Alligator mississippiensis: one gene and its partners. The protein of the gene in region 4 binds, or shares a complex with, the protein of the main gene of each other region. Links are inferred from orthologs where the notes say so. Each region holds a gene or a part of one and is shown on either strand. Other genes may lie near its edges. The genes, in order: SLC7A11, SLC7A10, SLC7A8 and SLC3A2.

The links.
Region 1: the proteins of SLC3A2 (region 4) and SLC7A11 are in contact, whole or in part, in a cryo-EM structure (PDB 7P9V), measured with the Homo sapiens proteins. The link is inferred for Alligator mississippiensis from reciprocal best matches to the Homo sapiens genes SLC3A2 and SLC7A11. Residues at the interface, in NP_002385.3 of Homo sapiens: Glu167, Leu170, Ala173, Trp178, Thr181, Arg182, Phe189, Trp190, Trp193, Met196, Leu197, Gly199, Ala200, Ile203, Ile204, Ala207, Arg209, Cys210, Glu212, Leu213, Lys299, Arg534, Gln559; in NP_055146.1 of Homo sapiens: Leu151, Phe154, Phe155, Ile156, Gln157, Cys158, Glu159, Pro161, Leu163, Ala164, Leu167, Ile168, Ala170, Val171, Thr174, Val175, Val178, Gln217, Gln219, Val360, His373, Thr487, Gln489, Ile490, Ile491, Glu493, Val494, Val495.
Region 2: the proteins of SLC3A2 (region 4) and SLC7A10 are in contact, whole or in part, in a cryo-EM structure (PDB 8WNT), measured with the Homo sapiens proteins. The link is inferred for Alligator mississippiensis from reciprocal best matches to the Homo sapiens genes SLC3A2 and SLC7A10. Residues at the interface, in NP_002385.3 of Homo sapiens: Phe161, Thr162, Gly163, Leu164, Lys166, Leu169, Leu170, Val172, Ala173, Trp178, Arg182, Leu186, Phe189, Trp190, Trp193, Met196, Leu197, Ala200, Ile203, Ile204, Ala207, Pro208, Arg209, Cys210, Arg211, Glu212, Leu213, Arg534; in NP_062823.1 of Homo sapiens: Leu147, Val150, Phe151, Asn153, Cys154, Pro157, Ala160, Val163, Leu164, Met166, Ala167, Met170, Leu171, Trp174, Ser352, Val359, Glu481, Thr484, His485, Trp486, Gln488, Glu489, Leu490, Phe492, Val493, Val494, Tyr495, Gln497.
Region 3: the proteins of SLC3A2 (region 4) and SLC7A8 are in contact, whole or in part, in a cryo-EM structure (PDB 7CMI), measured with the Homo sapiens proteins. The link is inferred for Alligator mississippiensis from reciprocal best matches to the Homo sapiens genes SLC3A2 and SLC7A8. Residues at the interface, in NP_002385.3 of Homo sapiens: Thr162, Gly163, Leu164, Ser165, Lys166, Glu167, Leu170, Ala173, Gly174, Trp178, Arg182, Leu185, Phe189, Trp190, Trp193, Met196, Leu197, Gly199, Ala200, Ile203, Ile204, Ala207, Arg209, Cys210, Arg211, Leu213, Lys532, Arg534, Asp558, Gln559; in NP_036376.2 of Homo sapiens: Leu147, Leu150, Phe151, Pro152, Thr153, Cys154, Phe155, Pro157, Ser159, Gly160, Leu163, Leu164, Ala166, Ile167, Leu170, Leu171, Trp174, Gln294, Ser352, Met356, Val359, Glu481, Thr484, Leu485, Gln488, Lys489, Met490, Cys491, Val492, Val493.

Annotation. Positions count from the first base shown.
Region 1 is NC_081825.1:106,127,183-106,134,838, reverse strand, and holds the start of SLC7A11 (cystine/glutamate transporter), read right to left. Parts: upstream 3,019-7,656; 5' UTR 2,568-3,018; coding exon 2,291-2,567; intron 1-2,290. UniProt on the Homo sapiens protein: Heterodimer with SLC3A2, that functions as an antiporter by mediating the exchange of extracellular anionic L-cystine and intracellular L-glutamate across the cellular plasma membrane.
Region 2 is NC_081833.1:60,547,964-60,555,026, forward strand, and holds the start of SLC7A10 (asc-type amino acid transporter 1), read right to left. Parts: upstream 3,018-7,063; 5' UTR 2,953-3,017; coding exon 2,799-2,952; intron 1-2,798. UniProt on the Homo sapiens protein: Associates with SLC3A2/4F2hc to form a functional heterodimeric complex that translocates small neutral L- and D-amino acids across the plasma membrane. Preferentially mediates exchange transport, but can also operate via facilitated diffusion.
Region 3 is NC_081830.1:7,398,124-7,404,971, reverse strand, and holds the start of SLC7A8 (large neutral amino acids transporter small subunit 2), read left to right. Parts: upstream 1-3,833; 5' UTR 3,834-5,580; coding exon 5,581-5,707; intron 5,708-6,848. Other genes in the region: RNF212B (RING finger protein 212B), read right to left, coding at 1,121-1,220. UniProt on the Homo sapiens protein: Associates with SLC3A2 to form a functional heterodimeric complex that translocates small and large neutral amino acids with broad specificity and a stoichiometry of 1:1.
Region 4 is NC_081838.1:4,476,134-4,482,980, forward strand, and holds the start of SLC3A2 (amino acid transporter heavy chain SLC3A2), read right to left. Parts: upstream 3,001-6,847; coding exon 2,892-3,000; intron 2,549-2,891; coding exon 2,129-2,548; intron 934-2,128; coding exon 760-933; intron 558-759; coding exon 457-557; intron 102-456; coding exon 33-101; intron 1-32. UniProt on the Homo sapiens protein: Acts as a chaperone that facilitates biogenesis and trafficking of functional transporters heterodimers to the plasma membrane.

The DNA of each region.
Region 1 (7,656 bases), on a different chromosome or scaffold from region 4:
GTGGCCATGTCTACATGAGACCCTGACTGCGCAGTAGCCCAATATTAGTGCACTGTAGTGTTGCATGGCAAAAAGTGTGATGCAACACTATTGCGCAGTAGTATTAGGCACAGTAGCATCACAAAGAAGGCATTCACTAGCACCACTGTACAGTAACTTGGGTTACTCCACATTTATTATCTTTTTATGCAAGTATTAAATTAACGCACAGTAATCATTCACACACATTAATCTCATGTAGACATGGCCACTTTGCAGAAGAGCAAAGTCTTTTAGCCAGGAGGATAAAATGTTCTCATCTCCATGTGTGGACAACATCAGTTAAGGAGAGGTGTATCTCATAAATACCGTTATAAATGGTTTAGTAACATGCAGGAATACAGAATCAATAGAACTATATGGTTTTAATAAATCATGGCTTGCAGTGTTATGATTGGTGATATATATGCAGTGGTCAAGGATGCAGTCCCTCAGTAAATAATGCTATAGCATTTTAAGGTATAAACCACATTTTTCAAAGCAGCACAACACTCAAAACCACTCGTATGCCCAGTGTTTTTGGTCACATACATACATGCATGTGATATAGTCTAACAATAGAGAAAGCACTACATAATATACATTTTTTTTCATTGATAGGGATGTATTCTACAGCCATTAAAACATGTTTTTATTAAGAACTCCATGCATATCGCACTTGCTTCGATTTGGGGCCCTGCTGAAGTCTTTGTGTGGTATTAATGAACGTAACTGATATTCTACCTAAAGTGATTGGAGAGTCACATTTAGAAAAACCTGTTGATGTGTTTTTTCTTGCCAATTTATCTGGAAGGTTGTAAGACAGAATCAGTTTGAAAGAAGCTGTTGTAATGCTGTAATCAGTATTTCATAGAGAGCATCACCAAGACCACTGGTAATGAAAAATAGTATGTATGACATTTTATCACAACATGAATGTATGACATTTTACAACGTGTGTATGACGTGAAAAAATGTATGACATCTTATCACAACATGTAAAGGCAGAGGGGAAAAATCAGAATGTACTATATTTAATCACTCTTCGTATACCACATAACTATGAAGGTTAATTTCAAATATCCTGTGTTCAGGCAAGGTGTGTCTCTAGTTTTATCTAAAGGCCAGCATATAACTGGATGCCAAATTGTGTTTACTTCAAGAAAAAGGTTTGGGTCTTAGGCAGTACCTTCAGAGTTCGATGGCAAATTACTGTTGTGTCTTATATTGTGCCTGTAATTAAATAAATTCAACCTCTGATGAGAAGGGGCAGTAACATTTTTCAACATTCTTTTTCATTCTTTGTATTTCTTCAAAACAATCAATGATCCTGGCCAATTTACCCAGGGCAAAATTCACATGTCCCATCTATTAAGCAGGCACGTGCTACTTAGTGTTTTCCCTCTTTACCACATGCCAGAAGACAAGTAGTCTGGATTTTAAATAAAGCCAATATTTGTGTCAGTTGCTCAGCTTTTTTGCGATTAACTCATTAAGTTGGTCAATAGACCTTCTGTTCCACATAATCAAGGGTGCTGATATCCATTGTGAATGCAGCTCTTTATACAACAAGACAAATAAACTGGCATTCATAAGGAGTTCTAATACTTTTACTAATGAAAATGTGCAAATATTGTAGCCAGATACATTCCAGAAGACAAAGTTCACAATATGTGCTTGTTTCGAAATTCCTCAATTTTGGGGGTGCAGTTTTTCATAAAATATCGTGAACTGATAAATGAAGTGACAAACAGTTGCAGAAAGTTTTAATTTAATTCAATTTCTTGCCAGTAACTGTTTTTGTCCAGAAGTTATTCATCTTAGAACTGGATCAGATGAGCAGGGAACTGAGAAAAGCTGTTTAAACATCTCACAGGTGTTCAAAATGACCAGCCCATCTCTCTAGCTTGCAAGCATGCTGTAAACTAATCCATACATTTAAAACAAGAACATCAAACATATACCACACTTCACAATACAGTAATGGATACTTCCCTCTCCTGATATATTAGGGATGCATTAAAAACACTGTTTGGTCTAGGGTCTTCATACAGCCCTTCAGTAGAGTTTTATGCCATAATGCTCATGATAGAGGCAATACTGATTGCACACAACTGTACCATTGAGAGAGCCCATCAAATAGCAAATAAGTATCCATAGCCTTACTGGTCCTCAAGCATCAGATTGATCTTTGATATCCACTAGCAAAAATAAGAAGAGAAGAATTCACCAGCTGTCCCAAAGGAGCAATTATAAACTTTGACTAACTTACCAAACAGTGAGAGGATACCACACACTGTCCAGACAACCAAGGACATTCCCACGCTGCCGGTGTTCTCCAGAATTCCTTTAGGAGAGATGAAGATTCCTGCTCCAATGATAGTACCAATTATAATGGATATGCCTCTCAACAAAGTTACTTTTTTCTTCAGCACTACTTTTTCTTCCCTCACTGGCTCTTTGCTGTCCATAGAAGGCAACCTGCCATTAGATTGCCCCTGCACATAGCTTCCATTAGTGATTGTAGGTACAGCAGGTTTCCTAAACATGCTAGCAATCAGCACACTCAAAACAAACAAAACTTTAAAAAAAAACTTTGTGGCAGACGCTCAAGGTTTCTTCCTCTATTTGTGAGTAGTTAATTGCTCTCCGTGCCTTTCCAATGCCTTCCAAGCTGTTCCTACACACAGGTAAACCATTCAAGGTGTATTTTTACTCTTCATTGAAATCTAAATGCTATTCCCTAACATCTGAACTCTCCCAGCACAGGCTGGTGCTGCCTTGTCATTGGAAACCAGTTCTGCTTCCGCGTGGACTTGTATTTAAGCTCCTGTCATACCAAGTTACTCGTGCTGAATGATGATGCAAATTCTGCAGGTTTGCATCAGCCATCTGGGATTATTCAGCACTTTTTTCTTTCTTTCTTTCTTTTTTTTTTTTAAACGGTAGGGGTATGTTGCACAACTGACCTGAGCTATTTAGGAAGAACAAAGCTCTCACTTAAAAGGAACCTTAACCTATCAGGCAGTAGTACACTAATGTCGACACATTCAAACACACTCCCAAGTATTTAAAAGAACTAGTAGTGAGACACAAAAGCCTGTTTCAAAATACAAAGCCCTTCAGCCAGAAACAAAAAAATCAAACAGGATACGTCATCTTTGGGTCTTCTCCAATTCTTTTTTTCAATACTATCTTTTCACTACCGTATACTTCAGGGTTTTCAACTGTTGTGTTTTGTTAGGTCTAGTTAGTTTGTCTAAAAATCTATTTTCTTTACCTGAAAATTGACATAGATCAGACACACATTTACAGAGACTACATATAACCCTTTTGCTACCTTATGTTGCCTAGCAACACATCCAAATCAGACTAGTGAAAAATGTAGGTTATTTCCATACAGTCATTCTCTCGTTAGTGTTTCTGTGATGCTTACGAGGAAGTTACTGATGAGAATCCCCCTGCAGGAACTCTTGTTAACATTTACAACAAACTCTTTTCAGATCTGATGGAACATTAAAGGGAATGCAGTGACTCAGATAACAGAAATTTGCATGCGACCATGATGTTTTTCTGAGCGGATTAACTGATAAATTCCAAATTCTTTACTTTCGTGTCCTTCTAACTCACATGAATTATTTTCTTTCAAACCACCACACCAAAAGTTAAAAACAAATACGCAAACAAAAACAGTTCATAAAACAACAAAAATAGTCCCTCAAGTCTTTATAATCTCACTGTACAGAGTACTATATGCCAAAGAGGGGAATCTTACATAACTTAAGTAGCGCAGCTGCTCATAGCTTTAGATTCAATCAGCGCAATGAGAAATTATTATTGCCTCACATACTCCCTTTACAGTTATTGCTTAATTAGCTCCAAGATGGAAAAATATATTAGCTGAACATTTTAGCATTTCAAAAGACAACACTATTCTTTGAGTGTATCCTAGTAATACACTCAGTGTAGAGCTGCACTCTTAACACTCTAGTTGTAAAACCCAAATCAATATTTTAAAAGACCTGTATTTTCAGGGGTTGTGACTTGTCTGTAATAATTTGTGTGGTGGTAAAACTATCTATAAAAACCTTGGCTGGTATTAATATACAGAGGTACAAACACAAAAAACACCATTTTTGCACATCTATTTGCACTGTTACAATGTTTTAAAGAAAGTTTCACTTCTTACTCTATACTCTTTGCATATCCACCATCAGATACTGTGATTTCTCCTCTAGTCATGGGTGATGGGTGCATTCTGAATCTGGGGGGCCACCCGCAAAAGCCACCGACCCTGTCAGGGGGGACACCAGCTCTACCAACAGCATCAGTGTCAGCTGTTGGGGGGCCACCAGCCCCGTCAGGGGGGGCACATGCACCCCCATGCACTCTCTACCAGTTGCCTATGCCTCTTCCTTAGTCTGTCTACCATGTGCCTGCTCTGCGCCTAGGTGAAAGAGCAATTAATTTTTTACTGAAAAACATTGAATACCACTCAGGTACATGCCAGTGAGGTACCTGGTCAAATTATTAACCACTGGCCTGGGCTGATGTTCTTAAACTGAATTTAAAGGTGCAGAATCACAAGCACGCAGCAGGGCTTCCTTAATCAGTGTCTCAGGGATATATGTTATGTATATACCCTTATATAGTCCTTAATCAATGCCTGACATTTATTTAAATGGGAAGGTAATTAAATGGGAAGGAGCTACAGATCAAAAGAAGTATTAAGCAAGCTTCCAGACAACTCCAAGGCAGCTCCCAGCAGTTCAGAGCTCTGCCTTGAATATTTGGTATAAACTTTCAAAGGAGTTAAAAACCTTCACATTTATTTGACCACAGGTCCTCTTTGCTTTTAGGAAGATAGCAACTCACATGGACTTCTGTGTGTGTATGTATGTATCATTATTTAACCAATAAGCTGTTCAATTAAAACATAAACTATGATTTTCTATATGTCTTTAGACCTTGGGATGATTTATCAGTAATAGCACTTACAGCTTTTACTTTAACTTATGATTTCCCTAATGTTGTATGAGTCCCTTGGGCACTCTTGGTGCATAGCATTAGTTGAAGTAGCCTATGGCCTTTCTAACTTAGTATCAGTGCTAGACCAAGAGCAGAAAAGAGGTAAAGTTATTTAAAGTCATGTTTTCACATGCCTTCTTGGCTGTAGCTGAGACTGAGAGTCTCTCTGAGTTCTCCTAATTCTGTGTAGAACCTACAATACTTTGAAGGGTCCTGCAATACAAATAAGTAACAATAGCTACTTTAATAGCAGCCTTCAACTACCTGAAGGGTGGTTACACAGAGGATGAAGCCCGACTGTTCTCAGTGGTGGCAGATGACAGAAGAAGGAGCAATGGTCTCAAGTTTCAGCAAGGGATGTTTAGGTTAGTTATAAGGAAAAATTTTTTCACGAGGAGGGTAATAAAACACTGGAACAGGTTACCCAGAGTGGTTGTGGAATCTCCTTCCTTGGAGGTTTTTAAGACTTGGCTAGACAAAGCTTTGACTGAGATAATGTAGCTGGGGATGGGTCCTGCTCTGAGCAGGATTTGGACTAGATGACCTCCTGAGGTCCTTTCCAACCCTCATTTTCTATAATTCTACTCAACAAAGTCAGAACAGTCACATTCAATTTTGAACAGCAGGGTTGTTAAGTAATAGAAACAAATCAGCTAAATTAAGGAAAGGCTTAGTTCTTGACATTGAACCTTTCTGTCGTCTTCTCTTGCTTCCTCACTAATCTCTGATTAACACCTACTACTTAACATACAGTCAGTTATTACATCTGTAGCTTCACATTTTCTCACTGGTCTGCCTTGCTTGAGGCAAGACTAATTTGGAGGAAGTGGCCTGCAAAGAAAGCTCCGTTGGTCCTGAAGTCCCAATAGGCTATCCAAATCTCAGGTTTGGGCATGCATGGATAAGGGCAGCTGCACATCCATTTACTGATGGGTGGAGCCCTGACTGCTTCTTTCAGCACGCTATCAGCAATGCTGAGCTGGCACAGGGAGGAGTAGTTTACAACTAGTACAGAACTGCTGTGAATTGCTACCCCCTGGAGCAAGAAGGGAATAGGGAGAGAATTATAGGTAAGGCACACTTCTTTTCTTGCAGTGCTTTCCTGTGCAGCCCTTAGCTACTGCTGTACCAAATCCTGTGGCTGTGAGACCATGGCAAAAGTTAGCCGCTTGACATTTGGGCTCTTACAATAAAAAGTAATCATTTGTGTCATCAACATCCCAAATTCTGCACAGAAAGGAGTAAACAACCCTGGGGCACTTTTAAAGACCAGAACAAAATTAGTCTTTTTGGCAAATTAGTTGTGACTTCTCTGCCATCTAAGTCTATTTCCAAGACAAGAAGGAAACAGTGACAGACACCTTAAGATCTCACAATCAATGTCATGCTTACCCAATCTATCCTGAGTCAGATGTGACCACAAGGAGTTACTTTCACTGGTAGTTTTAATTTAAATTGTTCCAAGTTAATGCAGGATTATGGCATTAGTAAAAAAAAACACAGCACAGTACACAGCCATATTCCCTAGGGAAGTCTTCAGGCCACCTGAAGCTTAACTTGTTCACTACTGAAAACATACTCTGTTAGACCTACAATTTTAATTTTTTAAGGCAATATCTCCTTCAGGATGCTGAAAATATTTTAGAGCAACAGGAAGCTCTCCCACAGAAAAGAAAATAAGATTTCACCTCTGCAAGCAATTGGAAAGATGCACAGCATTGTCGTATTTTCTATGCTATATTTTCTATGCAGTGTCAGGTTCATTTCCTGACCAAAAGTTTTAATACATAAACTAGATAAACAATGTAAAATGGTTTCCTCCTTCTGAACCTTACTATCACCATGTCATGAAACATTTATCTTTTTTATGCCAAACAAAATTCTTAATCAAGAGTAAGCCTAATGAATTCTCTATAGGTTTTTGCCTAAAATTTGCAGATAACTGAATTAGCATGTGACCCTGCTAGACCAATGGTTCTCAACCCTTTTGGATACACGGCACCCCTTATTAGACTTAAGACATCCCTTAGAAAATGCCAGCTCTTAGTTTTCAGTAGATTTTTGACTACAGGAAAATTAAACAGAACAATTCTTCAGTTGCAAAGAACTCAGAAAGACTAAAACAATCAGAATGTTTTTGAAACCATGAATTTCTATTTGAAATCTGTATGTTTATCTTGTGAATCATGCTTGCACACCTAGCCATGCTAATACTGGGTATATGCAGGCAATACCTTTGGATCAGCCTAACCAGGGTTAGATCAACCTAAATACCCATGGGTTCCCTGTAGGGCTCCCAGGAGCAGTAAATTGCTGTGTATACTGATCCTGGTCTAGTTTTGGGTGCCTTAAAGCAAGCTGCCTTGACCTAGACTGGGTACAATGAATGCTGATTTGTATCCATTGTGTGACACCCCATGGCACCTTTGAAAGTTTCTTAAGATACCATAAGGTGCCTTAGCACCCTGGGTGAGAATCATTGTGCTAGACCCTCCTTATGAGCTCCTCTTGATTTCAAGAACAAAGAAATAGCAAGATATTTAATCTATATGGTGAACAAACTTTTTAATCTGCTTTACATATTAAATTAGGATCTATGAATCACCATGT
Region 2 (7,063 bases), on a different chromosome or scaffold from region 4:
GACAGATCCCAAGGAACTTTATCAAGGTTCAGAGTAATGTATACACTATAGCCTTATGGTCTGTTTTGCAGCGTTTTGCTGTTAGTAATACAGCTGCTGTAACCCCTCCAGGAGCAGAATAATTGGACATAACTCAGTCACAATTACCCCCACCACCTCCCTTACTCTGGAAGAGGCAGGCATGTGTGGATACACCTGCATAGCTATTCCACTTCGACTTTTTAGAGAACGTGGGGAAGGGGAGAAACCAGTTTCTCCATTATCTATTTGCTCACAGTAGAAAATATGGGACACTGCTCCACACACACACACTTTGATGTGGCTAGGTCAAAATCTGAGCTAGATATAAAGGGTAAGCATTAATTTTACTTCCTTGTGTAGGTGACTGATGGGTCTAACTACTTACTCCAGGGGTGCTTGGCCCCTGCTACTATCATCCGGCCTGCAGGGCTCCTCATGAGTATATACGGAGCTCTACAGGCTGTTGCCCTGCATGCTAGAACAGGCATGTGTGGCAGCATGGGCTCCAATCCCCCAGACTGGACTAAGTGGAGGCAGCATGGGGTCCTGGAGCCTCAATCCTGGCACTAGGACAAAGCAGAGGTGATGTGGGGCCCCAATCTGGGTATATGGGGCTGGGCAGAGGAGGAGAGCCCTGATCCTGGTATGTGGGGTTGGTACAGGGCCCTGTAGTCCTGATCACAGCACATGTGGCTAGACCAGAGTGGTGCAGGGCCTTTATCCTGATGCATGGGGCCAAGTAAGGGCAGTGCAGGGTCCTGGGGCCCAGTCCAGATGCAAGGGTGGTACAGGACCCAGTCCCAGTGCACAGCGTCCACTCCAACCTGCAGACCAGCCCTGTACCTTTCTTCTGGCCTGCAGGGCCAAAATGTTGAGAACTACTGATCTAGTCCAACAGAAGAAGTTTAATACAGTCTACAGCAGTCACTTCACTACCACTAAAATGCAACCGATTGTGAGGCAGACACAGAAGCAGTCGAACAGAACATAGCAACACTACACAAGAGTTGAGAGCAGGACATGAATAAGAACAGTATCAGGAGTTTAAGTAAAATATAATTACTCGGGCTGGAGCCTGGCTGGGGTACAAGTCGGATGGCCTAGCTCTTGCACAAATAATGTTAATACTTTTTAATGCCACTGGCCCTTAATAATTACAGGTGGTAAGGACCCAACTTTTACATCTTACCCAAAAGAGAGAGAAGTTGCAAATTTATTTTCATTTGGCCTTCATACTTGAGGCTTCATCCAAACATACTTTTCAAGTGAATTAAGAATTTGAGGTATTTTGAAATCTATAATAAAAATAGGTAGTGAATCAAGCCATTAAATTAAATCACCCCAGAATGAAGATGGTTAATTGAATGAGACCCTGCACAAATTATGTTTAAAAAGACCAGTCCTGAAGACCTATCATGAACAGTCTGTTTAATTTATGTGACTAAAGCTTGCAGGATTCCGCTAAGGATACTGTAGGATTCTGTATTGATATAAGCATGTAAATCTCATTAGTATCTATTTGGATTACATATGCTTATCGAAGGAAACAAATGACTGCCTATCATGTAGGTGCTTTAATATTCAATACACACCACGCAAGTTGCTAAAATGAGTTGAGATAAATGAATCGAAAATTCATATAACAATAATAGACTACTGGAAAAGTAGTAAAGATATTTTTACACTTTAGCACTACAACAGGACTTGTGTGCAGCACGCTGACGGGTCAAGGAAAATGCTGCAAGTAGCTGAGGTTCAGACTGGCTTGATTTCAACGATAGTTCATAATTCACCAGGAGTTGTTAACCCAATACTAATGTAACTTCTAGCTGTGGTGTTAATAATTTTGTAAAATGTGTGTGGCGGGGGGAATCCTGGTAAAGTGAATGATTTCCTTTCAAGCCTAGCAGCATTATGCATAAAAAAGGGTGGAAAGGACTGTGGACTTTTGGCTTATGGAGCAGGCTCACTTTCTAAATCTGTGAGGCATGCTGTTTCCTCTCCTAACTGCAATGGTAAGATGCAAGAACTCCGGAAACAGGTACGAGCTAGCCCGCATGGAGAGAAATAATCTCCACCACAAACCAGAATGGGGTTTCAATACAGCCAGGACATCAGGACTGAAAACATTCAAGTCGCTCTGCTGGGTTCATACAGCACTGTCTCAGGACGTGGAAGACATCTCTACCACACTAGGGTCGTGTGCTGAGCTTCACGGCAGCTAACTCTGGGAGCATTACACTTCCAAACCTGGACTGTCAGGGAGAGACGACTTGGAAAGTCAGGCTTGATACCAAAAGGTGCTCCTGAAGTCGTGTGGCTAAGGCTGGACGTCCCGGCTTGCCACTTTGGGACTTTACTAGTATTGCAACCTTTCTCTAAGGAGCGGAGCAGGCTCGGGCTCCCCGCCAGCTCGCCCGCTGATCCGCGCCGCCCTCGGGACACGTCGCGTACCCCGATGTCGGGCCTCAGGGGCACGACGAGTCCAGGGAATCTCAGCCGGGGCCTGCGGCCATCATAGGGGGCAGCGCGGCCGTCCTCTATTGATAGGAAGCCGGAAAAAAATGTTCTTGAGAAAAGCAGGGGCCGTAAAGGCATTGGCTCTCCTATCGAGAGTGGCCAGAGGAGCAGAAAACCGGACTGTCCTCTATGATGAGCATCCTTAGGGCCACGCGTGGCGGGTGGAGCGGGACGTGGAGCTGCACCTGCACACGGGCCGGGCCCGGCTCGCCCTGCCCTGCCCTGCCCTGCCCTGCCCTGCCCGCTCTTGGTCCTACCTATGATGATGGCACAGGCGCTGACCAGCCCGATCTCCTTCTTCAGCGCGACCCGGTCCGCGCCGGCCTCCGCCTGGCCCGGCGGCGGCGTGGGGGCGGCGATGCTCTTGCCGAGGGGCTGCGGCTGCGGCTGCGGCTGGTCCTCCCCCGCCATCTCTCCCCGGCGCGCCGCAGCTCTCCGTCCCTGCCGCCCGGCCCGCCAGCAGCTGCAGGAGCTCAGTGGCTGGCGCATGCGCTGCCCGGCCCGGCCCGGCGCGCGAGGGGGGCGGCCACTGGGCTGGGGCTGGGGCTGGGGAGCGCGGGGCGCGGCAGTGGGCTCGGGTGCCTGGGCTTCAGGTGCCGGGGCAGGGGGGAGGGAGGATCCCTTGGCTTCAGGTCCCCAAGTTCAAGTCCTAGGGGCTGGGGAAGGGGGCTGCCTAGTCTTCAGGTGCCCAAGTTCAGGTGCCGGGGCAGGGGGGAGGGAGGATCCCTTGGCTTCAGGTCCCCAAGTTCAAGTCCTAGGGGCTGGGGAAGGGGGCTGCCTAGTCTTCAGGTGCCCAAGTTCAGGTGCCGGGGCAGGGGGGAGGGAGGATCCCTTGGCTTCAGGTCCTGGGGGCTGGTCACAGCGATGGTCACCCTGGCGCGGGGTGGGGCAGGCAGTGTCGGCACCCGCAGGTGGGGAAGCCCAAAGATGTCAAAAAGAAAGGCAGCCGAGCCGTGTGCCGCAGCAGGACGGCTCCCTTGTGTCAAAGCCAGGAGTGCAAAGCAAGAGGTGGCGTTTCCCGGGGGGGTCTGGGTCTAAGAAGAGGCTGAGAACCGCTCAGGGGCAGATCTAGGGGTTGGCAGAGGGGGTGCGGGTGTGCGGGGCAGCACCTGTGTTTCTCTGTAGCTCCAACAAAACAAGAGGCTTTCGTCACAGACCAGGGGCCAGCGAGGGATGATTTGGGTGAAGAGACAGGCAGAAACAAACAGCACTTCATTGGAAGGCATGACAAAGAGTCCCCAGGGCTGGGAGGTAGCGGGGTTGCAGAGAGCAGGGAACAGACAGCAGTGTGGTAGACAAAGGCTGGCTCCACTGATGGAGCATCAAGATCATTAAAAAGGAGATAGGGTTGTTAACACCTCTCAGATGAAGAGTATAGAGGGGATCAGGTGGGTGACACTGAGCCATGAAATCAATGGACCCCCTCAGTACTGCCTGAAATGCTGCTGCCGTGGCCAGGAAGCTGGTTTTAAACCTTGGCTGGAGCAGGAATCAAATGGGGAGGGGGGTGCAAGTGTCCCAGTGTGCCCCCTGGATCCACCCTGGGAAGTACTGGTCTAGAACGGCTTATGGTGTTGAAACAACACTTAGCTGTCCCTGTGCGCTTGGAGAGCTGTCCCATCCCCGAGGCTAACCGGGTGGATGTGGTGGTGCTGAAGTTCCTAAACACAGGGCAAGGCAGGGTTTCCTTCCGAGAACCTCTGCATGCTGCATCAGGTAAGCACCATGTCACAGCACATGATGCACACTAAGCCTTACCTTGGGGGTGCCTTTAAATCAGGCTTTGATTAGGATTTCCTTCTTTAAATATTTCATGTTGTATTTCTTGGGTGGCTATTTCAAGCTTCATGTTGCTGTCTCTCCAATAATGCTTACTATTGGAAAAGAAAGGGAAAAACAAACTGCTTTTGCTGTTTGCATAGAAGCACTCTGCCAAAAACTTCAAAGGATCAATATATGTAGTTTATTCTGGTAATGTGGAATATCATAACAGGTTTTTAGGTTTGTTTTTGTGTAATGGGACTCATAGATTCATAGATGCTAGGGTCAGAAGGGATCTCAATAGATCATCGAGTCTGACCCCCTGCATAGGCAGGAAAGAGTGCTGGGTTCAGATGACTCCAGCCAGATGCCTATCTAACCTCCTCTTGAAGACCTCCAGGGTAGGGGAGAGCACCACCTCCCTTGGGAGCCCGTTCCAGACCTTGGCCACTCTAACTGTGAAGAAGTTCTTCCTAATGTCCAGTCTAAATTTGCTCTCTGCTAGCTTGTGGCCATTATTTCTTGTAACCCCTGGGGGTGCCTTGGTGAATAAAACCTCACCAATTCCCTTCTGTGCCCCCATGATGAACTTATAGGCAGCCACAAGGTCGCCTCTCAACCTTCTCTTGTGGAGGCTGAAGAACCTTCTCTTGCGGAGGCCTTTTCTTATTGAATAATGTTAGCAGAAACAAATAGTTTGGCCATAGTGGAGCAGGCTTCCAGCATTATTCTCTGGGCCTGACTTGAAAAGGAGGATTGAAAAAATTGGTGCATTTCTCTTAATCTTGGCTATTTGTGTAATGTGACAAATTAGGGTTAGATGGCTGATGGTGTCAAGTCCCAGAAGAGTTCTGGTAATGCAATGGTGAGGGTCTTCCATTACAGTCCGTTATGGAGGTTATGCATTATTGGGACCAATGCGATGTTCTAGCCAGAAGCCTGACTCAGAGGGGTCTGGTAAATTCGCTGGGGATAGCTGGAGATGGTTTTATATGTGTGTTTTGATGATCTTGTTCAAGAATGGGAAATTAGTTGGCAAGATCATAGGGCTCAAGGTGTCTCCTTTGGTGTTGGCTGGAATATTGTGAGGTTTAATGTGTTTGGTAGATAACCTTCTTCAAATGTGGTACTGACAATGTCAGTCAGTAAAAGCCCAAATTAATTCACAGTGTTTTTTACTAACAAGGAAGGGAACGGGGCTGAAGATAAGTCCACCTGCATGCACTGCTATGTAGCTTGCAAGTGCAAGTCAGGCAAGCTATCTTTCCCTCATTCACACTGTTTTGTGCCCAGTTCATGTTCCTGAGTCTATACTATGTGTGCTCCACTGGGTTTTGTAGTGCTGCATGGAGTAGAGCCCTTCTAGGAATGTTACTGTGGGACAGTTTGTGTTTCCATAATGGTGCTAAGGGCAGGAGTTATTTTAGTTTGCCAGCACATAAAGGTTTGTTAGCTTAGCACAATACTCAGCTCTGTGTGTGTAGCAGTGTTTAGAGCAATGGATCTCATGGTTCTTGCCCAGCTGTGTGAGGTGGAGTTGTTCAGGGAGATGCTAGGGTCTTCCGGGCTGGATGCAGAGGACATAAAAGAAGCATAAAAGAGAGGTGATGGTTGTTGCATTATCCCCATCTGCATGCTGGCATTTCTGAGGCAGAGGAAGTAGCATGGTGTGGTGTGATCATGCAAAGTGCATAAACATGGAATAGCTAGCAGTGGCTCCAGGATGTCCATGTGAGGAAGCAAGGTATTCTTTGGTCTGGGTGTAAAACTTGCCGTAACCTTTAGGTGCCACTGTATATTGCTGAAGGAGACCACCCTGGTGCAGAGGTAGATTGTTATCTCTGCCTGAAAAATGAATACCTAGGGCTGCTAAAGGTCTCTGGCTAACCAACTGGGTGTTGACAAATCACCTGTCAGCCTGGTGAGGGGGGTGAAAGTTTGCAATGCTAGCCTGAAAGTTTCTGGCAGGTTTTGAGTATGCCCAAAATAATGTCTGGATGACAGAGGATGGGATTCTCAAGTTGTGCTGGGACTATTTGTTACCTCCCTGAAAGAGCCAGTGAATAAGTTAATAGAAGCAAGAGCTTCACTAGTTTTCAGGGCTTTGTGGACCACAGAGGCAATCCACATATACCAATGTAGGAAACACCAGCCGGAAGCAGTACAGCAGGGTTCTCAGTAGATAGCATTTACATGCTTGAACAGCCTTGGAGCCTGGGGCTCCAAGTTACTTCTATCAAGGTGTTCGCTCTTTAGGAGGACCCAGCTGTCCTCTCCTGCCATGTCTTAGAAGACAGTGTGTAGACGCTGTGCTGCTGCACAGAAAATGCAGTCACATTCTTATCTGCAGCATGGTGCTACAGTGCATATTTGAAAGGTCAAAAGAAGGCAAGCCATCCCCTACAAACTCATTTGGATGGCAAATGTTGCAAAGTCCATACATATGATATTGTGCTTTGTTGTGTCCTGCACAGCACCTCTGAAGTTTGAGGCAAATATTTTCACACAGAGTGGATCCTAGACCCTTAGGAGCTCCTTAGTGGATATGTGCTACCAGAAAGCAGTAGGGTTGCTGGGTCATGGGGGCCATTGGGGTGCCATTGTTCATTTACCTCCATGCCACAGTGAGTAATGTGTTGCTAACGCACGTGCTGCTTTGTGTATAGTGGGGCCTGTTGTTCTAATATATTACAGGATATTAAAGTGCCTGTTGTGCTTTTTTTTTTAAATTCCTGGTGTAAGGCACTACTCATCTGTGTGG
Region 3 (6,848 bases), on a different chromosome or scaffold from region 4:
TATTATGTCTCCATCAGAGGGTGTTATATGGATTTAACTATATGGGGATATTTAAAGCAGTTTCTGTATGTAGGAACACACTCCGTTAGACTTCTCTTCTCCCTTGCTTTGTAAAAAAAAAAAAAAAAAAAGAGGCTGAAAGATAAAAATCAAAGGAGAAACAAATATCTCTCTCCCTCATTTTCTTTTTTCTTTTTGTCCTCCCTGGAAAAAAAAATAGTTTAACATATTGATTTCCCTCACTTCCATTACATGTTTCCAATAAAAAACACTGCAGAGGATATGGGGAAAACATGGAGAAAACTTGTATTTTAGCATTTTAAAAGCTATTTTCACTGCTTTCCATTAGAAAAATGTACATGTAATACACTTTTGCAGACTCCCCACCTTCCCCACCACCATAGTCTCCCAGTGTGAAAAGTTAAAATAAATAAGCACAGTAATAAAATGTAAAGAGGTGTATTTCCTCCATTTTCTGTCACTTTTTATTCAGAAGATAAAGTTAGCATGTGCAAAATGGTATTCTTCCCCCTCACTTTAGCTTTCTTTTTAACAATGTCCTTCCTTTTTCTAATGGGAAAATAGTAAAAGAAGAAAAACATTGAAAGAAATTGGGATTCTGTCCTCCACATCTCATTTCTAAATTACAATTGTAAAAAATATTCTCTTCCAAATTCATCAGAAAACTCTTTAGGGAAAGGTTAATTTTCAAAGGGAAAAAAGTCCCAGGGAAGTTTCTTTGTCCTTTAGACTTATTGAAAACTGACTCTTTTAGACTAAATAATTTAGTTTTTGAAGGATTTTTTTCCTTGAAAATATTTCAAGTGATCCAAGTGTTGTTAGAGTCCTATGGAGGAGCACCATGCCCTTCTCCAGGGGTGGGCAATTATTTTGGGCGGAGGGCTGCTTACTGAGTTTTAGCAAGCCATCGAGGGCCGCACGGCAGGCAGCCAGGGGCAGATAAATATTAATTTTCTACATTTTTAGGGGCCCCATGGGCTGGATAAAATGGCCTGGAGGGCTGCATCTGGCCCACAGGCCACATTTTGCCCACCTCTGCCCTACTCTCTTACTCCAGGCCTTCAGGCTAGGAGCTGTATCAAAATGATCTTACGCTCACCACAGCCAGTGCACTTCCTGCAGAAAATGTGTCCACAGCTGGTGATGGAGAACTCTGCCCCATTTTGATGAAAGCATTGGTTGCAGTGGAACCAGTCCATGCTGTGAGGAGATGGACAAAGGAGGAGTTACTGCCACAAGGGCCCAGGTTGGGGGTGAGAGATGGATAATCCAGGAGACAGAGATACTGTTAGAGATGGAGGGAGGGATGTTCAGCTAGATGGATGGTGAGATGGAGGGAAGTGGCTAGATGGATATTCAGACGTACTTGGTGGTGGACAGGATATGTCTGTATGTGGAAGATGAGTGGATACAATTATCAAATATTACTTATGTGTTAATTATAAGCATTGCTGTTTTATATTAGCTATCTTTTTATGCATTACAGTTCATTACTTGATGGTGGCCTATTGACTGCAAATGTTATCAATGACTTGCTAGCTTATTTATAGGTCCACAGCGTAGCCTTCTAACTTTAGAATATGAATTAGCCAGGGTTAGATAATAAAATCTGTTGCTCCTATTTTTATTTTAAATATTATTGTTAGCAATGGCTATCCATTAATTATGTTGATAATTCATTTTTGCTATTTAATTTTGTTGCATTGGTAATTTATTAATTTTTGACTGATTTGTATTAGTTTGTCATTATGCTTCACCTATTATGTATTTAGCAATGCTTAGGGGTTATATACTGATTAGACTCCACTACTAGTTTATTGTTTTTGCTTATTTATCAGGTGTGGTGCTGCATTGATTCACTATCTATTTAATATTTGTAGGTCATTTAATCATAGGCTATTTATTTATGGCCATTCCTGATGATCTGTAAGGTCCCTTCCAGCCTCTAACATCAAAACTATGAAGCTATGAACTCTGATTAATTGGCTAATTATTAAATAACGTGCTTTTTCATGAGGTTACTTTTTATGAGCTTGTAATGATTAGGAAGGGTCAATTGATCATCATCAGCTCTGAATTGCATCAGTACATTAGAATTGCGGAGTCTTGATAAACACTGACCTATTATTTATTTTACTCTGGGTAATTTATTGATACAATTTTGTAATTGGAGATGACTAGCCATTAGTAGACCACTATTTTCATATATTCATCAGCCACCTCTGGCTTATAAATCATGTAATCCGTTAGGAGTCATAGGTTATTCAAAATCTCTGACCCATTCATATATTAATTACACCAAGCGTTATCTCAAATGCATAGAAATGATGGGAGATTAATTTGGTATGGATTAACACTGATTGAAGAGGGGTGAGGACTATTTGTATTCAATAATGTAAAAACTATCAATTATTAATTAGGTTTTTATTACATGTAATTTACATTATTCATCAGTTAATTGAACCTCACAGGTTATCAGAGATTAATTGAACCCCACAGGTTATTCTGTCCATGGTCATACATTTAATTTGCAAATGTATGACCATGGATGGAATATAAATCATATTAGTTATGGAAGAGTAACATGTATTGATAGGTTATTATTGTTAGATTATCTATGGTTTCAGTATATTCCGAAAAATAGGTGACTGGCTAGGAAAGTGCTATTATTCATTAATGGGCAAGTATCTATATGCTAGGTCACTGTTAGCCATTATATTAATTATCCATAAACTATTAATTGAAGGGGTTAGGGATCGATGGGATGTTTTTTCAGGTATATTTTACTTATCCATGGGTTATTGGTAGGATGTTAAGCTAATGGTTCTTATTAGGAATGATTGACTATTGATAGCTTGTTTGTTAATAATATATGTAGTCAAGAGATTAATTGTATTAACTAGAGGTGATAGGTTATTGATGGGCACTTGATGCATTAAATAGTAACTAGGGATGGCTGTTGCCTTTCCATGGCCAGTTGCTCATTCTTGTATTAATGCTCATTGGTACTGTAATTTGTCGGAGGAAGCTGGTTATTCATGGGCCGTGATTTATCAGTGTATTAATTACTCCAGGGCACTAAATTAGGGCTTAATTGTTGGCTACTAAGGACCCCTCAGTCCATTCCCTGGGCTCAGCGGGTGTTAATTAGTGGGATGGGGGCTAATGAGCTGTGGGAATGAGGGGCCCCTCCCCAACCCTGGCACCTCAGGGCACGAGGCTGGGAGTGACAGTTGGAAAAGGGCGGGAAAAGACCAAGAGCCGTGGCGGGGGGAGGGGCTGGGGCAGGGGCGGGGTAATTAAGGGAAGGGGCTGGGGTAAAAGGGAGGGGTTTGGGGGCAGTTAGGGGAGGGGCTTTGGGGGAGTTATGGGGCAGGGCTTGGGCAGGGGGGAGGGATTTGGGGGCAGTTAGGAAAAGGGGTTTGGGCAGGAGGGAGGGGCAGTTAGGGGGAGGTGCTGGGGCAGGAGGGGGAGGGGCTGACGGCATGGGCTTGGGGTAGTTAGGGGAAGCAACTAGGGGCAGGAAAGAGTATGGGGGTAACGGGGAGAGAGTTTGGGGCAAACAAGGTAGTGGGGGTGCAGGAGGGGGAGGGGCAGTTAGGGGGAGGACCTGGGGCAGGAGGGAGAGGCTCTGGGGCAAGGAAGGGGCTGGGGGCAGGTCTGAGTGTAGGGAGAAGGGGGCAGTCTGGGGCAGGTGTAGGGGTGCTGGGGCAGGGAAGCTGGGTGCCATTGGCTGCCCCATGGCAGGGGGATTTGAGGGGGCAGGGAAATAGCCCACAGGCTGCTCCTGTGGATCGCTGGAGTCTTGGCCTGGGGCACAGCGCTGGTTGGGGGGCAGGGGGTCTCTGCACCCTCCTTCCCTCCGAGCTGTCTCCCACTTTCAGCCAGCTGGGGGGGGAGGAATGGGACAGTGATTTCCCCTTGTTTCTCTGGAGCCGTGAGCAGCCCGGGTGGGCAGAGGAATGCCCCCCCTTCCTCAGATTAGGTGGGGAGCACTCTGTGCCTCAGCAAGCGCACCCAGCTTTTCCTTCTCCAGTCTGGACATCTCCATCCAAGCGACCTGTCTGTCTGTCCCAGTCTCCATCTGTCCCCTCCCCCTCTCTGCTCTATCCCCAAGGCCTCTGTCCTCGCTTCCCCTTGCTCAGCACATCGTCCTCCGCCCACTGGGGTGAAAGTCCGGGCTGGGCCCCGTTATCAGCTTCTGAGCAGGGTGAAGTGGGGGCGAAGGTCCTGATGGGAAGGAGGGATGATAGCCAAGGAGGGCCGATGGCCAAGGAGGCAGTGCAGGGGGATGGGCGAGCAGGTGGCCAGCAGCTCCTCCAGAGCCTGGGCCCACACCCCAGAGATGGAGAGGGGATGAATGGGGGGCTGGGGATGTGGGGATGTATGTGTGATGTATTTAGCCTGTGGCACCCAGGACCATAGTGTTACCCACCAGCCCTGGACCCCCAGAGCAGACAGACTCCCCACTGCCAGATCTGGCCAGGGAGCCGGAGCTGAGGGGCTGGCTTGCCCTCTGTCCATCTGTCCCGTTCATTCCACCTCTCTTTCCCTCTATCTCCTTCTTGTTTTCTTCTCCGTGTTCCTGGCTGTGGGCTGGGTAGGGGAGGAGTCTGCCAGCTTCTCATGGGAGGGAGCCGGTGTGTTAAGTGGGAGCGAGGGAGTGAGAAAGAGGGCCACAGAGGAAGAGAAGGTACCCACGCCTGCTTGCCTGTCCGTAGGCAGGCTTGGGCACAGATTTGTGGGTGGACTGCTGGCCTGGCTGCCAGTAGGAGCGAGCAGAGGGAGCCAGAAGGAGGGAGCAAGAAAACCACGGAGGGGAGAGAGAGCACTCAGCCGGAACAGAGGAAGGAGAAAATCCACGAGGGACGAGTACAAGGCATCTGATCCAAGGATCCCCCTTGGAAGGAAGGAGAGTGACAATCCTAAGTGGAGGGAGAGCAAGAAAACTCTGAGGGGGAAAGTAGGAGCAAAGCGGGGGGTCGGGGGGGGGGGCGGAGAAAATACCCCCGGGGAAGAGAAAATACTCTGCTAGAAGAAGGGAACAAGAAAATCCCACAGGGAGGAGTGTGGGGCAGGGGACTGCCTGAGGAGCACAGAGCCAGAGAGCACAGCAAGGGAAGGAAAGGAGGAAACGGAGCGAGATTAAACCGGTCTGGAGTTTCGACGCAGTTCCCTCTCCCCTCCTCCGCTGGGGGCAACTTCACAGAAGAGGGGAACGAGTAAACAAGTTGGAGGGACGAGTGTACAGATTGGAGACCAGGAAGGGAGAAGGGGCTGACTCCGAACCAGCCGGCTCAGCACCAGGGCACCAGGGGATTAGACCAGAGCACCTAGGACTTGGGCTGGCTGGAAGGATTGGTCCACGGGTGCAAGCCAGCCTGAGCCGGACTGATTCTATTGACCCAGTGCTAAGACCCGAGAGGCAGAGCCCTGCCAGGGTCTGAGGCCCAGAGCCCAGAAGCTGCCCCCGAGTCCAGAACCAACGAGCCGAAGCAGCCCCAGTGTCCCACAAGCCTCAGCACTGCTCAGCCCCAGTGTGGTCCAGGTCCACCCACCATGGAGGATGGGGCACGGCGCCGAAGCGGTTCCGAGAAAGGCCCAGATGGGCCAGAGGAGCCTGCAGGGGATGCTGTAGCCCTCAAGAAGGAGATTGGTCTGGTCAGCGCCTGTGGCATCATTGTGGGTGAGTTGGGGGCCATGGGGACCCCACAAAAGGGCCCCTGGGTCCGCCTGCCTGGCTAGACCTCCCCCCTTCTCCCCACTTTTTCTCTCCTTTCCTCCTATCCCTCCATCTTTTTCCTCCATCTCTCTCTTCTCCCCCTCCCTCATTCCCTCTCTTTGCTTGCCTCTATAAATAGCCCTGAGCTGTCACCTTGGTTTCCCCGATCCGATTAGAGCTGGATCCCCCCTCCCCTGCTTGCCACTGCTCCACACGGTCCCAGTGCCGCCATGCCCCTCACCCCAACCAGTATGAACAGCCCCAGTGCAGCCCACCCCAGAGCCAGCTGAACTGGAGACCTCCCTGGCTTTGTAGAAGTAACTCTGTGCCATGTGCTCCACCCCAGAGCTAGCTGTATCTTGGCCCCCCCTGCTCTTATCCCAGTACAACCAGCCACACAGTGTCCCACCCCAGAGTTGGTTGCATCTCAGTGCCAGGTATAGGTTCCTCCTTTGCATTCCACCCCAGAGCCAGCTGCATCTCGGCCCTGGACAAAGGGCCTCTGTCTAACCAACCCCACAAAGCATCCCACCCTGGAGTTGGCTGCATCTCAGTGCAGGGTCAAGGACCCTGCTATAAACAGCTCTTTCCCCCTGACCTGCACCCCAGAGTCAGCCACATCTCAGCCCTGGGGCAAGGGGTCCTTGTCCAAACAGCCAGGCAGGCTGAGATGGAGTGTCTGGGTTTTCCGCTCGGATGCAAGCAGAGCCCTGGAGCGTGAATGAACCTCAGCTCCCTTAATCCGGCTCCAGATGGCCCCGCTCAGCAGGTGCCAGGGAACGCCGGTGGGTGGGGGGGCCAGGGGGCACCAAGAGCTAGACAGAGCCCCCTGCTCCCTCCCTCGGTGCCATGCAGTGCCCTATCCCCCAATCCTGTTGGTGCCCCTCACTCCTAGCCCATCCCCCCACACCCTACCAGTCCCCCTCACTCCTGACCTGGAGTCTCCTGCCCCTCCACCCCTATGCCTTTTGCCCCAGAGGTCGGAGTCCCTCTCCAGAGCCCTGTTTATTAGGAAGACGTGGTAACCCTGATAAGATGGCAGGGAAAGGGCCCTCTGCCAAGCTCCCTTGCCCTGGGATGTCCCCTCTAGGGGGTGCCAGGCCCC
Region 4 (6,847 bases):
CTCCCCCACTCTCAGGATCCCCCCAGACTCACATTCAGCTCATCCACGGCCTCCAGCTGGAACCCTGAGATGCCCTGATTCAGCCAGAAGGTCATTGCCTCCTGCCGGGGGGCAGGGAAGAGATGGGTCAGGGGGGAGCAGCTGGTACCTCCACCATGGCTGAGACCCCCCCAAGCTGCCTCTACCCCCTATCCAGCCCCTCTCAGACGCACTTGGGGGTCCCCCCCAGCTTCCCCAATCCCCACCCCACACTCTCCCCCCAGACACCCCCTGGGAGTCTCCTAGCTCCCCCACATGCTCTGGGGTCCCCCTAGCTTCCCTGCCCCCCACACTTCCCAGACCCCCCTGGAGTCCCCCCAAGATTCCCTGCCCCCCCAGTGGTGGAGTCCAGTCCAAGGGACCAAACAGCCCCTGGCTGACAGCTGCTTCCACAGGCCCTGGTCCCTGCCCCCCCACCTTGAACTGCTTCTGGAACTGGGTGCTGTTAGCGACGCCAGGGCCAAACCAGCGCTGCTGCCCCTGGTAGTTGGGGGTCAGGTCCAGGATCACCTTGAGGCCTGGGTGGGGATCCACAGTCAGGACTGGGCCCCCGGACCGCCCCCCCACATCCAGCCAGGGTATGACCCCACCCAGGCTCCCCAGGATCAGGGCCCCGCCTCTCACCCCCCCCCCCAGCAGGGACCACCAGTATCAAGCCCCTCCCCCACAGCCACTTGTGGGGCCCCAGGATTCAGGCCTGGACCCCCCCTCCCACCTTACCTTTCTTCTTGGCAGCCTCGAGCAGTTGGGCAAGGGTCTCATTGGAGCCCAGTTGGGGGTGGAGTTTCTGCAGGTTGGTGTCCTTGGGGCTGTCACGTTTGGTGTCATGCAGGGGGCCCAGCACCAGCCCCTGCACCCCCAGCGCTGCCACGTAATCCAGCTTCTCCTTCACACCTGGGGGGTATGGGAGGTCAGGAGGGCGGCGCCCCAGCCCCAGAGTCCCCTGATCCTCACAACCCTCAACCACCCAGAGCCCCCTCCAGACTTTTTACCAGCTGCACGGAGCCCTCCTCTACCCCCTCATACCTTCCCCAGACCCCCCCCCAACCTCCTAGGAACTCCCATCCTACAGAGATACCTGCCCCCCCCACGCCCTCCAGCCCACCAACATCCATATCCCCCAGGTCCCCTCCCACTCAGACCTCCACCGCCCACTCCCCAACCCGAGCCCCCTCTGAGACCCCCAGACCTCTCCCCTTAACTGAACCCCCCCACCCTAGAAAGCCCCCAGTTAATTGATCCCCCCTGTGACCTTTACCCCCCCCTACACCCAATCACGCGACCTTTACTCCTCTCCCCGCCCACTACCCCAGAAGTGCTGACTCAACACGTGATGTCATGGCTGATGTAACACCCGCCAGCCAAGACCGGCTCTGGCCGGCCAGGGCTGGGAAGCCCACCCCTATCCCCCCAAACCAGGACACCCGGGTTCTCTTTCAGATGGGGGGGCAGGGCTGGGGGGGCAGCGCTGGGGGCCCCAGACACATGGGTTCTCCCCTCCCCGTTCAGGGAGCAGATGGGGCTGAGAGCACGTGGGGAGCCCGGACACCTGGCTTCTCCCCCCCGACTCAGGGAAGGCAGTGGGGTCCAGTGGGGCAGCGCAGAGCAGGTATTGGGGTCCCCCTGGACTCCCTCCCCACTCGGAGATGGCTGTGGGTCAGGGGCCCCCGCCTGGGAGCTCAGGTTCTTTTGCCACTCAGACAGCAATAGGGTGTGCTGGGTCCGTCGTACAGGAGTGTCCGGAGACCTGGGTGTTGTCCCCGCTCGGGGACACCCTTGGGGCAGACGGGGAGCCCCTGGACTCCTGGGTTCCCTTAGGAAAGGCAGTGGGGTCTGCTGGGTCAGCACAGAGCGGGTAAGCGGGCTCCGGGCTTCTCTCCCCCCTCGTGGAAGGCAGCACAGCCTTGCTGGGTCAGATTAGGGGGTGCCAGCCCCCTACCCTGGACGCCGGGGTTCTCTCGCCGCTCGGGGAGGGCAATGGGGTCTGCTGGGCCAGTACAGAAGGGGGTGCCTGGACGCCTGGTTTCTTGGGGACAGCTGGGGCTCAGACCAGAGGGCTGCCAGGCCCCGGATGCCTGGGTTCTCTCACCTGCCAAGTCCCCAGCGTTGCCACCCTTCGAGTCCCGAAAAGCCTCCATGGGCTGGATGCGGTAGAGGCCTCCTTTGTGCCACCAGGTCTGGGGTGGCAGCGGCCGGCAGCGGGGGGCCTGGACGATGATGAGCACGGCGCCCGCCAGCATGCCCAGCCAGCCCAGCCAGAAGAGGATGAGGAGGGCCCAGCGGGCCCGGACCCAGCCCGGGGTGCCGGCTGCCCGCAGCAGCTCCTCCTTGGAGAGCCCTGTGAACTTGGGGGCGCCCTCGTCCTCCTCGTCCTCAGCCACCTTCACCTTCACGGCCCCGTTCTTCTCCGGGCTTCCCGGACTGGCGGGTGTCATGGGTTGCTTCTCGGGCTCCAGCTCGTTCAGCTCCACGTCCTTCAGGTCTGCCTCCATGGCGGTGCTGGGGGGCACTGGGGAGAGAGGGAGGCTGTGAGATTGAGGTATAGCACCCTCCTGCAGCCAGGCTAGGCCCGGGCAAAGGTAGAGCCCGGGTGTCCGGGTGCCCCCCCTCCACCAAGCCTGTTGGACTCTGCTCCCCCAGGGGGAAGAGCCCAGGCGTCCAGCTCCCCTTCCCCCCCCCATTTTTGCCCAGTGGACTTTGTCCCCCCAGGGGAGGGAAGCCAGGCATCCGGGTCCCCTCTTGTACCCCACTGACCCCTTCCCACGGTCCTAGTACACCCGTTGGCAGCCAGGGGGCAAGGGAACCCAGGTGTCCGGGCCCTCAGGCCCCCCTTCCCTGCTGCTGCAACCTACCAGCCCCCCCAGAGCAGGGAGAGAGAGCGCCGGGGTCCGGGCCCCAGCCCCCCCGCTCTACCCCAGCAGCCCCCCCAGAGCTGGAAGTGTTGTGGGGGGGCCCAAACATCGGCTCCTGCCAAGACCCCCTTCCTCGCTGGGGGGGGCAGCACTAGGCCCCCCCATTCCCTGTGCTTCCAGGCGCCCCCTTCCTCGCATGCAGCCCCAGCCCACCCCAGTGCTCCCAGTACCAGATCTCCGAGCTCCCAAATGATCTAGGAACGTGGTGGCGGGGGCGCTGCTTTATACGGCCGGGTCCGCCCCGCCCCGGAGGTGGAGCTGGAGCTGGAGCTGGCGGCCAGGCTGCCTGGCGGGTGACAGCCAGGGGAGGAGGGAGCTCTGCCGCCGGGTTCCTTCCTGGCGCTCAGCAGAGTTGGAGATCAAAGGCGGGGGGGGGCAGAGAATGGGACCCCTGGGGGGATCAAGGGCAGGACCTGGGCGGGGGCTGGGGGCCGTCACAAGGTCCCGCCCCCCCCCCCAGCTGCACCCCCCCCAGCCCTGATTTTTTCCCCCGGGGGCTATGGGGGGTCTGAACAGAGGTGCCCCAAATTCTGGGGGCAATTCGCTGAGTCAGCCCCTCCCAGCTCCCGACTCAGCGAAACACAGCCACAGCCAACCCCTGCAGCCCCCCGAGCCCCGCTACAGACCCCGTAGCCCCCCGCCCCAGCTCCCGTCAGCCCCCCACGACCTTCCTCCCCCCCTCCCCCCCACAGGACGGGGCAGGCGGCAGCAAGATGGTGCCCTGGAGGCAGGGCCGCACCCCCACAGCCAGCCAGCATGGCGCCGGGCGAGGGGGGCCGGGCCTGGCACGAGGCTCTGAGCCAGCTCCGCCATGTTGGCACCTGGCAGAGACGAGATGGATGCTTCCCCACCCCGGGCTGCCATTTTGGCTCCACATGCCTTCTCAGGCTGCCGTCGTGGCTCCCCATGCCTCAGGCTGCCATCTTGGTGCTGGTGCCTTCCCGCCTCCCCGCTCAGGCTGCCATCTTGGTGCCAGGTCCCTTCTTCATGCTCTCATCTTGGTGCCACCTCCCCCAGCCGCCATGCTGGTGCTTCCTCCCCACTCAGGTCCCATCTTGGTGTCAGTGCCCCCACCTCAGGTTGCCATCTTGGTGCTGCCCCCTCCCCCCCCATTCGGGCCACCATTGTGGTGCCACATGGCTCCTGCTCCGGCTGCCATCTTGGTGTCAGTGCCCCATTTTGGTGTCGTAACCCCCCTTCCCCCCCCCCCGGCTCAGGCCACCATATTGGTCCCATTCCCCCTCAGGCCCCCGTCTTGGTCCTCCCTTTCCATTGCTCCCAATCGCCATCATCAAAGACAACGCCACCCCCCGCAACTAACAAGCCATGTTGGGGTTCCCTCTCCCGCTGGCAGCTGTGACAAGATGGCTGCCAGGGTGACGCAGGTTAAAGGAAGACGGCTGCTGAGAAGATGCTGGCGATACCAAGATGGCGCGTGGGGAACGGTGCCCCGCGCCCTCTCGACTGAGCTGTTGGTAACCATCTGGGAGTTGCCTGCGGCAGCCATGACGCTCCGTGGCAGCCATCTTGGTCCGGCCATGGGCGGTAGCTAGGGTGGCCATTACAGAGGACAGTCCGGTTGTCCTCTGTCCTCCGTTGATACGAAACCGGACGCCTTGATGTCCTCTGCTTTTCTCTTCAAGAGGACCTAAGGCATCCGGTTTCGTATCAATGGAGGGCGGAGTAGCAGAAAACCGGACTGTCCTCTATGATGGCCACCCTAGCGGTAGCGCCCTTGTCCCAGTAACACCCAGTACCCCCCAAACAACACCCCAGACCCCCTCATTTCCCCATGTGCCCCCCTCTTTTGCCCAGGTAGCATCCAGTGCCCTGCCCAGCCCGGTCGCTCCCCGCCGCCTGCCAGACCGGTCCGTGGGGACTGAGGGGTCCCAGCTATGGCGGAGGTCACTGCTCCAACTGGGACCCCCCGACGCGCCCTGCCCTCCACCCCACGAGGCGCCCCCGCCCCGGGTCTACCCCAGCTCCAGGAGGGCAGCGGGGGCTGCGGGTCGCGCCGGGGGCTTGGGGGTGGGCTGGGAGCCCGGACACCTGGGCCCGGTCTGGGAGAGGAGCAGGGCTAGGGTCAGCACTGGGGGCCAGATGCCTGGGGCAGGGGGGAGCAGGGGCACCGTGAGGCCGGACGCCTGGGCCCTTTCCCAGCTCGGGAGGAGCGTGTTTTGATCTGTCTGGGCCGGCTGCCAGGCTGGGGCCTCGGGGACGACGTGTCCTGCCAAGCCTCAGCTTTTCCTCCCCCCGCTCCCCCGCATCCTCCTCCCCAGGCTGGCCCGGGGCCACGCCGGGTGTAAACAGGGATGTAAACAGCAGGATCGGGTGGAGCGGGGGGGGAGGGGTGGGCAGCCAGGGTCCTCGCTGGCCCCGATCGGGGCAGGGGGAGCCCAGCAGGTGCCCCAGTGACGGGGCGATGTCCAGGCATCCGGCCCGCGCCCCCCCATTGCAGCCCACCTTGGCCGGAGGGGACCCGCAGCGGCGCGGGGGGCTTCTAGAACCCCCCCCGTCACCGCAGCAACAGGGCCGCCATGCCGGGGGCGCACCGCCAGGCGGCCCTCGCCCAGGCCTGCGTCCGTCCCTCGCGGGACCCGGGCGCCCGGGTGCCTGGCACCTTCCACGAGAGGAAGGGGCGCGTGCAGCTGCTGGGGCTGCTCGCGGGGTACCCCCGCAATGAGGTCCGCAGGCCAGCTCGGACGCCCGGGGGCTGGGGGGCGAGACCGGGGGGGGCTGGGTGCCCGGGCGCCTGCGTTCTCTGTCCCCCCACTTGCTGCCTCTGTGCCCCCAGGAGGTGCTGGATGCAGGGGACAGGCGGCTGGTGCTGAGACGGAGGCGGGGGGCACCCTGGGTTCCCCCCAAGAGAGACCGAGCCCCTGACAGGTGACGGGGGCCCTGGACGCCTGGGTTCACTCCCTGCTTTAGGAGAGGAAGTGGGGCTGGGGGGGCGCTGGGAGGTGCGGGGTTAGAGCAACAGGGGCCGGGGGGCCGGACGCCTGGGCTCTTTTTGGCTTTAGAGGTGGTCAGAGCAGGGGGGCAGGCAGGTCTGGGAAGGGAGTGGGGCTGGGAGGTGAGAGCCAGGGACTCAAAAGCCTGGGTTCAATTCCAACATGTCCCTCTCTCTTCCCCCCCTCCCCCCAGCTGGCACCCCCGCTCTCTCCACAACCCCCCCTGCACCCCTGAGCCAGATGCCCGCCCGCCTTCCTTCCCCTTCCAGTGGCTCTGGGACCCCTCTGCCGCAGGGGGCCGGGGCCTGCTCCTATCCCCACCCCACTCCCCAAACCCACACCGCTCTCCCACCAGGCTGCCGGACCAGGGGGGCAGGAGTCAAGGGGCCAGGGGCAGAAAAGGCGGGGATGAGACCTTCAAGGGGGGCAGGAACAGGGGGGGCAGGAGGCCTCAGGGTTGTGGATATCGGGGGGCAGGCTCCCCGCAAGGCTCCCGGGGTCCCAGCTCCTGCCCGCAGCACCACCCCGCCTCCCTGTCCCAGCATCTCCTGGCCGAAGGGGGGGCGTGGCCCCGGTCCCCCAGGTCCAGGAGGAGACGGGGGGCACCCCCTGCCCCACCCAGGTCTGTCCCCGACTTCACAGCCCTACACAGGAACATTCAGGAGCAACTGGAGCAGAGGAAGACGAAAGGTGAGAGTTGTGGCTGGCTCTGGGGTGGGCACGGGCTGGTTATAACAGGCTGCAGCTGGCACTGGGGGGTGCACAGGGTGGGTATAACAGCCCCTCCCTTTGCCCCCCAGCCAAGCTGACTGTCTGCAAACCCTTCCGACTCCACCTGCCCAGCAGGGGCCAGAGCCACCTGGGGGCCAAGCTGGGGACCCCGAGGGGGCAGCTCCAGGCCCAATCCTGCCCCCCCATGTTCTCCCTGTTGCACCCTGTGGTTCC